Linked DNA regions of Lonchura striata. The protein of the gene in region 2 interacts with the protein of the main gene of each other region in a biochemical or structural test. Links are inferred from orthologs where the notes say so. Each region holds a gene or a part of one and is shown on either strand. Other genes may lie near its edges.

What was found. The genes of interacting proteins can lie anywhere in the genome.
Region 1: the proteins of MAP3K2 (region 2) and SMYD3 are reported together in a solved structure, tested with the Homo sapiens proteins (2 studies listed by BioGRID and IntAct, with this or other methods). The link is inferred for Lonchura striata from reciprocal best matches to the Homo sapiens genes MAP3K2 and SMYD3.

The regions. Positions count from the first base shown.
Region 1 is NC_134605.1:32,556,114-32,563,822, forward strand, and holds the start of SMYD3 (histone-lysine N-methyltransferase SMYD3), read right to left. Parts: upstream 3,041-7,709; 5' UTR 3,010-3,040; coding exon 2,846-3,009; intron 1-2,845. UniProt on the Homo sapiens protein: Histone methyltransferase. Specifically methylates 'Lys-4' of histone H3, inducing di- and tri-methylation, but not monomethylation. Also methylates 'Lys-5' of histone H4.
Region 2 is NC_134610.1:14,452,759-14,459,867, reverse strand, and holds the start of MAP3K2 (mitogen-activated protein kinase kinase kinase 2), read left to right. Parts: upstream 1-4,098; 5' UTR 4,099-4,199; intron 4,200-4,420; exon of another isoform or gene 4,421-4,506; intron 4,507-7,109. UniProt on the Homo sapiens protein: Component of a protein kinase signal transduction cascade. Regulates the JNK and ERK5 pathways by phosphorylating and activating MAP2K5 and MAP2K7. Plays a role in caveolae kiss-and-run dynamics.

The DNA.
Region 1 (7,709 bases), on a different chromosome or scaffold from region 2:
AACCTTACCCTGCTTTGGTACATCAGACCCTTGCTGTAGGAACTTGGCCAAGGCCAGAGAATAGGTCAGCACCATCCAAAGCCTGTGACCCCAGATCCTGGCAAGACCATGCTGCCTCTCAGCAGGCAGTCCAGAAGGAAGATACTCTGCACTTCACTACCCATCTTCTGGCTCACCCAGAACTTCTCATACAGCCTAAAACTGCATCAAGCAACATTCACAACTACAAGCAGACAAAAGTATAGAATTACACGTCAGTGTAAAGCCTCAAACATTAATTGCATCAATAAAAGGATTGCTAAACCACTAAATCAACGTTAAGAATTAGACTTTTTTTTTTTTAATTTGTGTTCCTGCACTGCCACCTAAAGATCAGAGTGAAAAACAGGAACAGTAGTGGACAATGTGACTTTTATCTGTAGTCCTGGAAGAGAACAGTAACTTTTTTCTGGTACCTCACTTTGAAAAAAGACCACACCAGATTCAACAAGATCAAAAAATCCAGATAGATGAAACAGTTCTATTGCACATCACAGCTTAGCAGTACTTCATTAATTGCCTAATTTTTATACATTCAAAAAAATATCTCTGTATGGATGTATATATATCCTTTAATTAGACAAATGTCAGCTTGGACAGTCTTGATCTATAAATTTTGTCTACTCACACATATTTTGCAAAGGAAAACAGATTGGTGTAAATATATTTTTTACTTCCTTAGTCACTTTTTAAAATTTAACTGCTATCACTATATAACCAAAACCACAAATTAGTAACCTCTTGTGATATAACAAACTGGTAGTACTATTATTTCTCCCACAAAACATGCCCTGGTTACACATGTACATCTGAACACCTCAGATTCACTTTTATTCCACCTGTTACTGCACTCAACTGTTGGAAAGGATGGATAAATATAATTGCCTGGCAAAAGATTCACAGTAGTACAGCCAGGATGAAAACAACCCTCCTACTGGCTGGACAATACCCTTACCTACAGATAGGTCCAAAAGTCAAATGGACTGTTCCATCTCACCCCCAAAATGTATGGTTCATCCCACACCTGTAACCCTCCCCTGAAGCATCAGGTGTCTGTAACCCCATTGGCCCAAGTCTTGTTCCAGCCCACCTTGAAGCCCGCTGATAAGGGGTCTCTGAGGGGCCGATGCCCTTTTGGAACTTCCACCCTCTCCTAGAGCATCCTCGCTACCCCATCCCCTCAGGCCTTGCCACGTGCTGCATCTGGCAGCTCCAAGCAAGACCTTTCTCCATCCCTAATAAACCTGATATTCTAAGAACAGCCTTCAGAGATCTCTCGTCTCCATTCATCTAAGCCGTCCTGGAGCACAGTATTCCTTACAGACTGGCACCCATTCCTTACACTCGGCCTGTCTTCTGAAGTCTGCAACCTCTCACAATTTCAAGTAGAAAATGTTCAGTCACCACCCTGAAGGGCTGTTATGTCCCAAGTCAGACTTCACAGGCATAATAGCTAAAAAGCTCTTGAGTTTGGCATTTATTAGGGTATTGGTTTTTTTGGGTTTTTTTTTTGGGGGGGGGAGGGGGGAGTTTTTGTTGGGTTTTTACTTTGGTTGGGATTTTTTTTCAATATGCTGAAGATGTAAGGTGCATCTTATAAAATGCAAGCATCACCTGAAATAGATTGTCAATTTTTTCTTTGATTAAATGAGAACCATGCCTGTAAAGGACAGGACACAAATCACCTGGACTGTTTCAACAAACAAAACTTCAAATGCTTTCAAAATAATCCCCTTCCCCTCGCCCAAAAAAAACCCAACCCAAACAAAAATCAAACCAAAGCAAAAACCTAAAAAAGAAAAATTAGTGATATTGAATGTTCTGTCTCTCTTCCTCACATCTTGGCAATTATACAGGGGTTTAACTCATCTAGCAGAATGTTTCATGTGTTAATATACAGATGCTCCTTTAACAGCTCTGCCACAATCCGGCTTGCTAGAATACTGTTCAAGTTTAAAATCCAAATTTTTTTTTCCTTCTAAACAAACACAGAAAGTTACTATGTGTCAGTTTCCACTTGTAGTGATATGCGGGAAGAAGGCAGGCATTTATTTACGGCATGTCTCAAAGCCACGTGCTTTTTACGGGATAAACCTGGCCAGGCGACCCGAAACTCAAGCATAGCCCGCTGCTTATTTCAAGAAGGCTGATGCCCCTCAGCTGTGCGAACGCCGGCGCACAGCTCCCCCTTGCCCCGCCGGACTCGGGAGTCCCCGAGCGGCGGCCGGACGCTCCCGGCACCGCCAGCCCAGCGGGAAAACTGCGTGAAGCACCAAGCCACGCCGGCACTGCCGCCTCCTGTCAGCCCAGGACACTTCCCCAGGGACTTCCCGCGCCCGGGGAGAGACGACATCTTCAAAAAAAGCCGCTTAAGATAAAAGCCCCCAGTTAAAAACAGAGGCAGGAAGCGGCAAGCCCAGGAGCTCCGCCCTGGCAGAGCACAGCCGCGGGACCCGGCACAGCGCAGCACAGCCGGCTTCTCTCGGAGCACGCAGCCCTGCCCATCCCGGCTCCTCTCCGGAGCACATACCACTGCCCACCCCGCCCGGCATAGCCAGCTCCTCTCCGGAGCACGCAGCCCTGCCTATCCCGGCACAGCCAGCTCCTCTCCGGAGCACGCAGCCCTGCCCATCCCGGCACAGCCGGCTCCTCTCCGGAGCACGCAGCCCTGCCCATCCCACCCCGCCCGGCACAGCCAGCTCCTCTGAGGGCGCGGACTCCCGGCCCTCAGGCACGGCGCGCCCCCGCCCCGGCGGAAGGGGCGGCGCTGTCCGGGCGGGGCTGGCTGCGGAGTTCCCGCGGGTACCTGCGCAGACAGCGCTCGCACACGCTGTCCAGCTGCTGCTTGGTGAGGACGTAGGCGAAGGGCACGGCGCGGTAGAGCAGCTCTCCGGGCCGCACCCTCCGACGGGAGCGGAGACCGCTGCCCTTTCCCGGGCTGTGGAACCGCTCCAGCGCAGCCGACTCCATCCTGCCACGCGCGCCGCCACCGGAGAGGAGAGCGCGGCCGCCCCGCCCACCGGCACGTGACCCGGCGCTGCCGCCGCCATCTTAAATCAGGGCAAGGGCGGGGCGACCCCTGTGGGGATGGAGCCCGGGCGTGCGGCACACGCGGTGCTGGGCCGGCGCGGCACGGCCGCACTGAGAGGGGCACGGCAGCCCTTTGCCTGAAGAGGCAGCCAATAATACGTATCACAGAATCCCAGAGTGGGTCAGGGTGGAAGGGGCTACAGTGCGTCATCTGGTGGAATCTCCCTGCTTAAGCAAGTCCACGCCAGAGCGCATTGCACAGGACCGCGTCCAGAGGGGTCTGGAATATTTCCTGTCAGGGGGACTCCACAGCCTCTCTGGACAATCTGCTCCAGTGCTCAGTCACCTACAGAGTAATAAAGCTTTCCTGCATATTCAGGTGGAACTTCCCGGGCATCATTTTGTGCCCCTTGCCTCCTGTACCTGGCTCCATCTTCCTGGCACCCTCACTTTACACATTTACACCCCAAACATTAAACAGTTTGGTTTACAAAGGAGGGGATGTGGCAGTAATTCAGTTAAAAGACGTGCCCAAAAAAGGACATTATATTTGTGAGCTGGCATCTGGATGTATTTCTGGATTTCACTGTGATCTGAATACAAAGAAATATGACTGGGCCAGTAGCTGCACCTATGCCCCGGTGGTGTTTCTCACCGAGAATGCACCCCATACACCAGATAACATTTTGTCAGAACCATGAGTCAAATAAATGACAATGGAGAAAGCAAACACTTGCAGAATTAAATAAGAGCATTAATCTGAAATGTTGGTGCTCAAAGCTCGTGAAACAAATGCTTTCTCTATGGGTCTGCATAACTTTCATTCATTTATAAGATGACACTCATGATGTACGCTAAACCTGCTAAACTGCAGATCGGCTTTACCTGGTTTTCCTTATCATGCCTATAGAGGGAGGTAGGGCTTGTGCTTTGGAAAGGAGCGTTGATTCATGCTGTCAAAGAACACTGACACATAGACCTAACAGTTCCGAAGCAGCTGTACAGTGCTAAAACACTCTCAGTTGTGTTCTCAGTAACTGTTATTTCAGTCTGGAATTGTTTTCATACAAGTTGCAACAAGGTAATAAGGAATGGCAATATCCGTATCTAAACCACTGCTATTAGGAAGAACCAAGGTGCCTAAAGTCAGAGGATTCTCACAGAAAAATATATTTTGGCATTTGCTTAATGCTACAATGATGTAATTCATTACCAAAAGAACTGACAGCAATCTAGCTGTTAGTGAAATCATTATGCATGTTATTACGCTTATCTTTAGCTCTTCTAGCAAATTTTTAAATGTGTTAAATTACAGTGTTACTGTGAATTTCTCAAGAATTAACCTTAGCAGTTATTAAAATATTAGGGAATTAGCTCTGTATTTGGCCTGTATGCTTTACTTCTTCACCTATTAAATGTTCTGCATTTCCCTGTCTATGATGTTTTAGTTTCTAAGCAGGCATCACCCAAAACCTGTATCAAAAACAAGCCCAGTAATAACAGAAGTTAACATCTGCCTCTATTAGTGGATAAATTTAAGAAATGAATGGTCAAATAAAATGCATAAACCTAAAGGCCTATCCATGAACTGCAAAAAGTGAACTTGGGGAAGAGTGAATATAAATATATTTAATTTTCATTATTTTCTCTTTCCTTCTTGGCAGGTTTTCTCACTTACATGTCCAGTAATACAAAAAAACTTGCAAAGTACAAAAACTCATCCAAGGGAATGCCAGTCTTTTGTCACACTGACACACAAACAAAATGAAAATCACATCCTTGAAGAGCCCAGCTACTCTAGGAAGATTTGAAGTATGTATAACTGAAGAAAAGTACTTCCATCAGTTTGGCATAAGTTGTACAGGAAACAAGCCACAGAAACTTGAAAACAGCTTTTAGTTGACATTGCATTTCAAGTGATATGAAAACATAATTGCAGTAATAGAGATTTTCTGTATAGATAAGCTTTCAAACACAGCATTGAACAGTTTAATGCAGTGTTGGATATTTGGACATCTGTATGAAGGGCCTGAAGAACTGATTCTACATACCTCCATCTACAGGTTAATGACAAATGTCCCCAGGAGAGCCATTCAACAGTCTTTGAGCAATGGTGATCAATGGAATGCCCAACATTGGAATCATCAGTCTGAATTTTCTCTAAAGTATGATGTCACTAGGGATATATATCCTAGTAAGTGCTTATTTATCCCAAGAATATATTTAGTTGAATTTAATCCCTGTTATCAGCATGGTATTTTTATATGACCAAGTTATACACAGACCTAAACAGGTCAGACTTCTCAGCAGCTGTTTGAAGTGCATGACACATTCTGGACAGAAGAAGCTGTCAAGGAGTGTAATGACGGCAGTTTTGAAGGAAATATCACTTAATTGTGGCTGATGCTGCTGAATTAGTCATATGTCCTTACTGCCAGGAGACACGGTCATGGAGCTTTAGCTCTTCTATCTCAGGATGGCATGTTTTACAACATGAATTTAGAGAAACAGATGTGAAATCATTCACATTCTGCTCCTTACTCATAAATGTGCAATAGCCATTCCAAACAACACAGCACAAAATTGTAAAAAATCTGTGTCACTAACAGCATAGAATAGCTATCTATTAATTAGCTGAAAGCTTGTAAGTACAGTTAAATCTTTTATGAACACGTATCTCTTGAAGAGGTCTCTTCACTTTCAATGTTAGTGGGCTAGTGAAAAATTGATTCTAGAATGTTAAATTAAAAATCACTGCAGAAGCGTTTTAAGCACAAATTTGTAATTTCATATAGATTTTATCTGTTGATTTTTTTTAACTGGGAAATTTACCAAACCATTGTATCTTCCCTGCCCCAAACACGTCAATTTCCTTCAAATGACAGAAGCAAGCTCAGGAAGTTCTGAGCTGTTTGTTTATTAGGGGTTGTATCAATAGGATCAACCACATGAGTGCTTAAAGACATTATGAGTAATCGACTGTTTCATTTGGTGTATCTTAACTACTCCTAATTTCCCTAGGGCTTCCTGTGCTTGCTGCATGTTGTGTTCTATCTGCTGGAGACAGTCAGTGTGCTTATTTTAGCAGTGACAAGTTAAAACAGCCCACATGAGGAAAGATGCAATAGCTGTTAAACAAGGCTATAATGTGAGCGAATAAACATCTCCTACTTTTACTTTCCAGAAAAGTAACTTTGTTATTTCCTTTTTCTCAGCATTTACAGAAGAAAGGTATGGCTCTGCTAATTAATGTCATACAAAACTCAAGTCAGAGTTTTCAATCTGCAGCCCCACAGATTGTGTTCAGTCTGACAAAACAATTAATTCAACATGCTTCTGAGGAAGCCTCAGTTTCTTCCTATCACATTTGCACATCCTAAACTATACCACACAATCTGTTTCTCAAGTTTTATGCTGATATTTCCATCAACATTATCATTAGCCTGCAAGGCTGAGCTCTAATTATTAAAATGTCCAATGCTGAACAGGTTTACAGCCAGTACAGACACATTCCACCTTAACAACCTCTTACCACAGCATCTACTGGGTTAATTACTGCAAGGTCAGAAACCCTTCTTCTAGATCAAAAGTGAACTGACTATAGAGTTCAACTTAACTGACCTAATTCCAAGTGGCAAAAATTCTCATTAATTGGACCAAGTTTGTTTCTGTCTCTATTTGTGTTTGTTATGATTTAAATATAGGTAAGTAGGAAGAGCTTAGGCAATTGCTAGCACAGTCATAATTCTCTTTCCCAGACAGATGGCACAAGTGATGAGGGCCACTAGAAAAGACCAACACCTAGCATCTCCGAAGTTACAGTCAATATATCAGCTATGATATACTGGTGCTTTAATATGGAATGCCAAACAGCATTTTTGGGCAGCTCCTCAAAAAATTGGAAGACTGAGAGAAATACTTAAAAGTGTTTTACTAGATAGTGCGTCACATGTGGTTCATGTTTCAGAGGTTCATGTATTAAATCAGTCTTGAAAAAAAAAGAAGGCAGTTATGCAAAGGAAAGGAATACAAATAATACAGCATTGGTTAAAAATGGTAACAGAAATGTATGACAAGCCTTCATATACAATTAAAAATTTGAAAGTGAAGTGAAAGTTCAACATTATCCTACAAAAGCTAAAATCCTACAACAGTAGGAATTACTGAGTGGATAGCATTAATTAATCAAATATATAGACCTACTTAATTTTCATTCCCTGTGTATTTATTCATATACAATAGTCATTTTCACATTTTCAATCTTTTTCATTAATACTAAAATAATTTTTATCATGGCAGGCATTTCTCCCTCCATTTCACATTTGTGATCAGGGCTAAACATTGCTCACACTTAGCCTTAATAGTGCGTTTCTGTTGAGCATTAAATCTCACTTCAAGTCCCCAGTTACGCAATATTCCTTCCACTTACAGACTCCTGCTGTTAGTCTCTGCATTGGATCATTAAGTGCTGCTTTGCAACAGCATCAAAATAAAACAAATTTCTTGTTTTCAGTTCATGTTTGAAATCTTATCAGCACATAGCTGAAGAAATTTATTTAGGCAGTGGTGGTGTTCCATTTCATGTATAGAATACTTCTCCTGGTATGCTGGAGGTGTGAGACATCTTGCTGCAACAAGAG
Region 2 (7,109 bases):
TATTGTACAAGGGAGGTGAAAGCAACTGAGAAAAGGGCTAAGGAACCTCAGGAAGAATCAAGATTAACTGACCAAGCACTGAAATGTAAACATTTACTGCACTGTATAATTCTAATAAGCAAAGAGAAGAATGTTGGAATGACAGTTACATTTACCATTCTGTTAGAAATCTCTTTTTGGTGGCTTTAGTATTTACCTCTGGCCAAACCTCTGCGTATTCTGCCTATCTCTTATCAGATATTCATTTGATGGATGAATAGGTGCTTACCAACTGCTACAATACACCACTATCTGGTGTTATATCTGAATATGTGTCATAGAACTTTACATTTGTGACAGCAATGTAATTCACTGAAGGGGAACTTCTGTCAATTTCTGTCAACTGCACTTGCCTTATGTTTTACATAAGATACAGAAACTCTTTGTATCTGTACTCTTAAGCAGAATATTGCTCATTCAGGGTATTTATTTAGGATAAAGTGAAGTCTGATTATTCTCTGGGCTTGCTTAGTGTAAAATGAAGTCTAGGTTGTAAAAAATCTTCATTCTTTAAAGACTAACAATTGTGTTTGCTGAAGGGAGAATAGCCTGTGCAATGTCATTCTGCAGTAAGGTCCCTTGTCTGCTTTAAGATGTAAATGAACAAATATGAGGCAACCATTGCTTGTTACAAGCTTTTTATGTCTGTGTTTAGTCTTCTGAACAGGCACACAGAATATCCCCTATAATCTTTAAGAAAGTGTGCTCTTTGCAAAATAGTGTAATTTAATATACTTCTAATCAGTATCTCCCAGTTTCCCCTTGCCATCTCAAATAGCAGCCTTGTGTTAAATGGCTGAGTGCTGCAGATGTTAGGGGAATTGCCTTATTAGTAAAGTCAACAGTGTCTCTATTCTGGGTTACTGAAAATGGCTGAGTCCTAAAGGTAAATGAGTTGCTTCATAAATACTGTTGCTCGAGATCACTTAGTGATATTACATTTTTATAAATCTTCCAGCAGTGGTTTAGGACTGTCCTCCCCAAGATGTTTGCTCTTCTTTTTTTTTTTTTTTTTTTTTTTTTTTTTTTTTTTTCCCCATTAGCCTTACAGTGATGGTGCATTTGGATTGGGTGAAAGTACTGAGATGAAGGCACTTGTTTCCTTCTCTCATGGGAAGGCAGAGGAGCATAGCACACGTGACTAGTGAAGGTTTGAACTAATACTGCTGTTTCCTCAATGCATGGGAGCTGGATTTAAGTTTATAAACAGACTGTTGGCCCTCCTTCTGGTGAAGAAAGACTGGATTATGTTATAACATGCTGGCATCTCAAGCTTTACCCTACTGCAGTTCCCAGAAGAAGGCATTTTGACTTCTGTTATCTGCTCTGTCTCCAGCAGCTTGTTCCTCTGTCAGTTAACCCCTCCTTTGATTAAATATTTATTAAATTAATCACTAACTTACCCTTTTCTGGATATCATTCAAAACGTGGTAATACGGTGCCATCTATAGGAAGGAGTGGTGGGGAGGCAAAGAAACTTGGGAGAAAAAGGAGAATGATGGCATGGCTCTGAAGAGGGGCTGGTTTGTTCCTTTTTAGAGTTTAGAAGCTGTGGATCTAGTGTCAACTAACACAGGCACATGTATAGCCTCAAGCAATACATGTAGGAGGTAAGAACCTCTCATTGCAATGAGGTATTGATTCTGGAATTCAGGGAGAGCCATTCTGCCAGATTTCAGTCAATTGCTTGAGTACACTATCCTGAGATGTGCTTACTCTGTAATTTCCACCCCCACACCTCCCAGCTTCTGTCACCTGTACAGGGTTTGAACTGAATGGATAAATAACTGATATACTTTATTTCAACTCCTGTCAGCTATTTTTTACTGTTATTTTCCAAATCAGCAATTACACTGTGCCTGTAAGATTTATTTTACTCTGGTAGGATGATAGATGATCCCAGAGCCATGCCCCTGGGTTTGGGCTGAGCTCAGTGTGAGACAGTATCATAGGTGCTGATCCTTGATGTTGATAGGTATTTTCTATCTCAAAGTCAATATTTAGTTGTTTATCCTGTTCCTGATACTGAAGATGCTCTGCTTTCAGGATTATGTCATGATCACACTGATGCCTGTCAGGATGTACATCACCTCTGCATGGCAGTCTCGGGATGCTGCTCTGTGCTGGGCAGGCTTTGTGCAGCAATACAGAGCTCACATGGGCAGAGAACTGTGGGATGATCTTCCACAATCCTTCCTGGCTTCTTCTGTAGTGAAAGAACTTTGACTTCAAAACCTTCCATTTGCTAAGCCCTCCTGCATCAGTTAAATCCAGATACAAAACACTAAAGCTGACAAATGGCAATGAAATGGAACATTAAGGCAAGGGAAACACTGGATGTGTATTCAAAGCTGTGTAAGCAGCTGTGGCTCATTGATTTTGCTTGATGGTGCAGGAGCATCACACATCAGCATTTTCTTGGCTGTTTCCCTATTGTTTGGCAGTAAAGGTCACCTTTTTAACTTCCCAATTAAAGACCCTTAATCATGACAAATGTCTTGTGAACACCACTGACACAATTTTCGCAAGTCTGAAGCAGTGTCTTAGCTTTGAGATGACAATGTCCCCTGCATGATGGCTCTGGGATCAGTGAGTTGGTGCCTTGTGCCTTGGATGTGCTGCATCAGATGCTCTTTAGCACTGGCTTCTTCAGTGCCTTTTAAAGACTATGATGGTATTTTCTTTTATAATTCTTTGAAGTCTATTTTGGTAGAAGATCTCAATCAGGTTATGGACTTTGCGGGCAATTACTTAGTTTTATATGTGGTTCCCACTGCAAATTGATATGTAAATCTTAAACTTCTGTTCAAGTATTATTTCACATGTTTGTTAAGGGTGACCAATGTAGCCCCCAACCCTTGTTTTGGGTAGATTTTGAGTGCTTGTTCAGGATTTGCAAACCTCTTGCTGTCTTACATGTTAAATACCTCTTAGCACATGCCCAGAAAGCAGCATGTGAGCAGCAGTGGAGTCAGGTGCCCCAGCAAAGGTCGCTGCTGTCTCTGTACAGCTCTGTGTGAACACACCGGGCCTGGCAGTGTCTCAAAGGGCATCCACTAAACATGCACAGGTCATTTGTGCATCTCGCACACAGTAGTCATGCCTGTAAGGTTACTGGTAAATCTGTACAAAACTAATTACAGTGCCATGCTATTATTCACCGTCATCGGCTACTTAAGACCGCAAGGGTAGCTGTAATAGCTGGCCTGCTACGTACCAGGGACTGCTTCCTCGCTGATTAACTGAGGGTAGCATCCTTCTTCCTTGCATGCATTGACTTCCTGCGGGAAGCAGGTGCCTCCTGCGGAGCGGTCAGTCTGTGCCGGCAGAAATGGGCGTCCCGAAGGCGGCAGAGCGCCGTTCTAAACAAATCGTCCTAAAAGCGCGCACAGCCCCCATAAGAGGCAGGTCAGGGCGGCGCGTCCTGCGCCGGGCTGCGGCGGGGCCGGGATTTATACAGTGAGCGATGGCAGTGGTGGGACCGCGCTGCCCCTTCCCATCCTGCCCTCGCACGGCGCCGATCCCGCGGAACGGCACCAGCCCGGGCTTCTCTTACACTCGGCTGTCCGGGAGCGGTGAGCTGACCCACCGGCCTGTCCGGCGGCGCTGCGGCGGAGCCACACGGCCCCGGTGCCCTCGGCCCGGGGGTGCCGCGGGGCGTCCCCGGCGGGACTCGAACCCCGGGCGCGTCCCGGCGCGCACGCGCCCCCGCAGCCGCCGGGCGCGCGCCGCCCCCCGTCCGTGACGCCGCCGCGCGGTGACGCCTCGCGCTCCTCCCGTCACGGGGCCCGGCGCGCGCGGGGCGGAGCTCGCGGGCGGCAGCAGCGGCGGCCGCGGCGCTTCACGCCCGACGGGACCCCCGGCCCGGCCCGGCCCGGCCCCGCCGCGGCCGCAGCGCCCCCGGGCACCTGCCCGCTCCTCTCCGCCCGCCGAGCCGCACCGCTCCTTCCGCGCCGGCCGCGGCGCCGCCTGTCACCGTCCCCGCCGTGCTCCGGCGCGGGCAGGCCCCGGGCCCTTTCCCCCCCTCCCCCGGGGGGGTGGGCTCCGCTCCGGAATCCTGGCCGCTCCCTCCGCGCCGCCCGCCCAGCCGGGGCTGCTCCCGCCGCCGCCGGGAAGCGCGGGGGGTCCCCGGCGGCCGCCCGGCCTCCGCCGTGACATAGGTGGGTGTGCGGGGAGGGGCGGGCGCGGCGGCCCGAGCGCGTGCGAACCGCGGGGCGGCTTTGCCCCGGCGCCTTGCGGGCCCCGGGCCGGTCCCGGAGGTGCCGGGGCCGGGGGCAGCACGAACCCGGCCCGGTGCGGGTGGAGCTGCGCGGCACCGTAGTTGTTTGCGGTGCCGGGAGACACGCGCTAATGTTGCTCCCTTACATTACCGCTGCATTACCTGAAGTGTTTTTACGTGCCTGCCGAGTATTTCTGTGTCACCCTGAACCTTCCTGTGTTTGCTCGCTGATGCTGTGGTTTCTCGTCTTGGAATTGCTCTGCAGTGGTAGTGCTGTGAATTGGGTATGTAGGTCAGATTCTGCGAGATGTTTTTGTCAGGGGAAAAAGTGAATGTTTGATTATTTATTCCCGTGTTGCTTTTGAAGTGCATTGCAGCACCCACGAGGTTGGGAGGTTTTTCTGCCTTTTTTTTCCCCCCTTGGTTTCTCTTGCTTCGTAAATCTCTTCTTAGTTTTTGGCTGTGGCATTACTGAAGATCAAAGCGCTAAATTAGCTGGGAGCTTCTAAGCTGTATTGTATCATGCACTGTCCTTTAAGAGGGTGGTAAAAGATAATAGAAGCCTGCCTTAAAACAAGGGGGATTTCTAGTCCGCGCAGAAAACGTCTCTCAACTACAGCGTTTCTTTTCTTTAAACAATGCAGCACGTTGCAGAGCGTTGGAGGCCTCCAGAATTGTATTGCTGTGTGTATGGCAGAGACGTATTACCAGAGTGAATGGCCACAGGCTTGTCTTGCACAATACCTTGGGTTCTCTTGTGGCGAAGCACTTACTAAGGAGATACCCGAGAAAGTATTCTTTCCTGTGGAATTCCCTAGGGATAATTCTAAGGGAAAGGACATTGATGAGCTAGTATTTGTACCACACTGAAAAACCTTAGAATAATTCTTTTTCGTCACTATCTTTTCCTGCTTTCACCCATACCTTTCCTTACCGTGACTTTGTAAATAACTGATTTCCTCAGAAATCTATTTAAAAGTCAGAACTTGCTATAATTCCTGTTTCCTTTACACTGTTTTCTGTAATGACTGCCACCAATACGTATTGACCCCAGATTTGATTCAGGTAGCAAAGCTGTGTATAATTAATTTGATCCTCCCCCCCCCCACCCCGAGGTTTTAGTGTGTGTTGATAAAGCAGAACAGGAAGATAACATTTGTCAGATTGACTCATTGCTTGAGAAGAAAAATCTGTGTAGAGTTTGCCTTGATGAACTCTGTGTTGGTATTTGAACAGGTGGTTTACCTGGCACTAATAGAAGAGCAAGATGAAGAAAATAGAAATTTTTGCATTGCTTGCCTTGGCTTGCTGAGATTTCTAAACTGTCAGAGGAATCTTTTTTTCCAAAATAGCTTGGTAATCTTAGGAGTTTTATAGTAAATGTTATTAAATAGAGAGCTGTGACAGAATTTATTCATGTAGTGAAATGAGCATTATGTTATTGTTTAATATCAGTAAGCAAGCTTTTTTGTTTTGTTTTTATGTTGATAATACTAATTTATGGTAAAAAATGAATAACCTTTCAATTTTGGTCATAGATGTATCAGGGGTTATTTGCTATGAATATTGGGAAAGCCAGTCAGTCCACATGCTTGTGGAATTTAAAGCCTAGTGACTCTAAATGCAGGAGAGATTGTTTTATTATAGTTTTCTCTGGAGGAAGCAAGCAAGTTGGTGAAGCAGAAGTTTTAGTCCACAGTTACAGTTTTTACATCACATTTTTTCCTGATCATTTCCTATAAGTTATTAATATTTAGATACAAATCAGAATTACTGGTTTTTAAAACCTTGTCATTAATGAGAAGTATTTGTGAAGGACTATGAAGAAAAAGGCTTTGAAATCTTGGCAATCTGCAGTTTTATATTTTTTTCTTTCATATTATAACTGTAGGCTAACTTTTTGCCTCAGCAAACTAAGTCAAAAGTCATGAGTAATCTGTTTTCGTGACAAGTTGTTTGGTGGCTGTCTAACTGGTCATCCTCTGAACTTAGATTGATTTCCTTCATTTGTTCCCCCTCTTCCACAACACACAGCCAATGGTGTTCTGATCTGTGGAGAAGTATCCATAGATCCCCATTTAGTTTGGAGTAATGAACATATTTTATAATAATATCTTCTTAGATATTCTGTACTACTAACAGTATCTTTTGTTTAGACTTGGAGAAAAATAAATGAATGATGAAAATGTGACTGATGTAGTTAAGTACATCTTAAATACATTTGCAGAAAATGTAATGTGTTTTCATATGCGTGACAAGCTAATGTAAATATGTGTATTGCCTAGTGACTCTAGGTTTGTCTAATTAGGCAAACTATTAGATTTGCTGTCCTGAAAGATTAATTTCTAAATGCAAGCTTTTAAAATTCTCAAGTAAAACTGACACAGTATTAAACTAAAAAAAAAGAAAAAAATCAGTTAAAGATTTTTTTGTGAAAAGAAAGAAAAATCTTTTTAAGAAGAAAAGCTTCTTTTGCTATTTTAATGTTTTGTATTTTGTAGTGCTAAGGTCAAAATAGATCATGCATGCTATAATTGCACATAGCTTGTAGAATAACATTGGAAACATGGGAATGTGTTCAGAATTGAGCATGTTATTTGTGATTCACTTCTCAATTCTGGATCTTGACATGACATCTTGATTTAATAATATGACAAATGAAGTTTATGGCTCTGTGTAAACCCAGTTTCTTAGATTAAGCATGCTTATTTGCAGAGTTTTCTGGAATGTTTAGTATATTCAACTTAAATGTAATTTTTTAGAAGCAGGAGGAAGATTGGTGATGATGAGAACAGGAAAGATGAAATTCTGTATTGTGATGTTGCAGGGATTCCCCTGGGAAATGGGAACC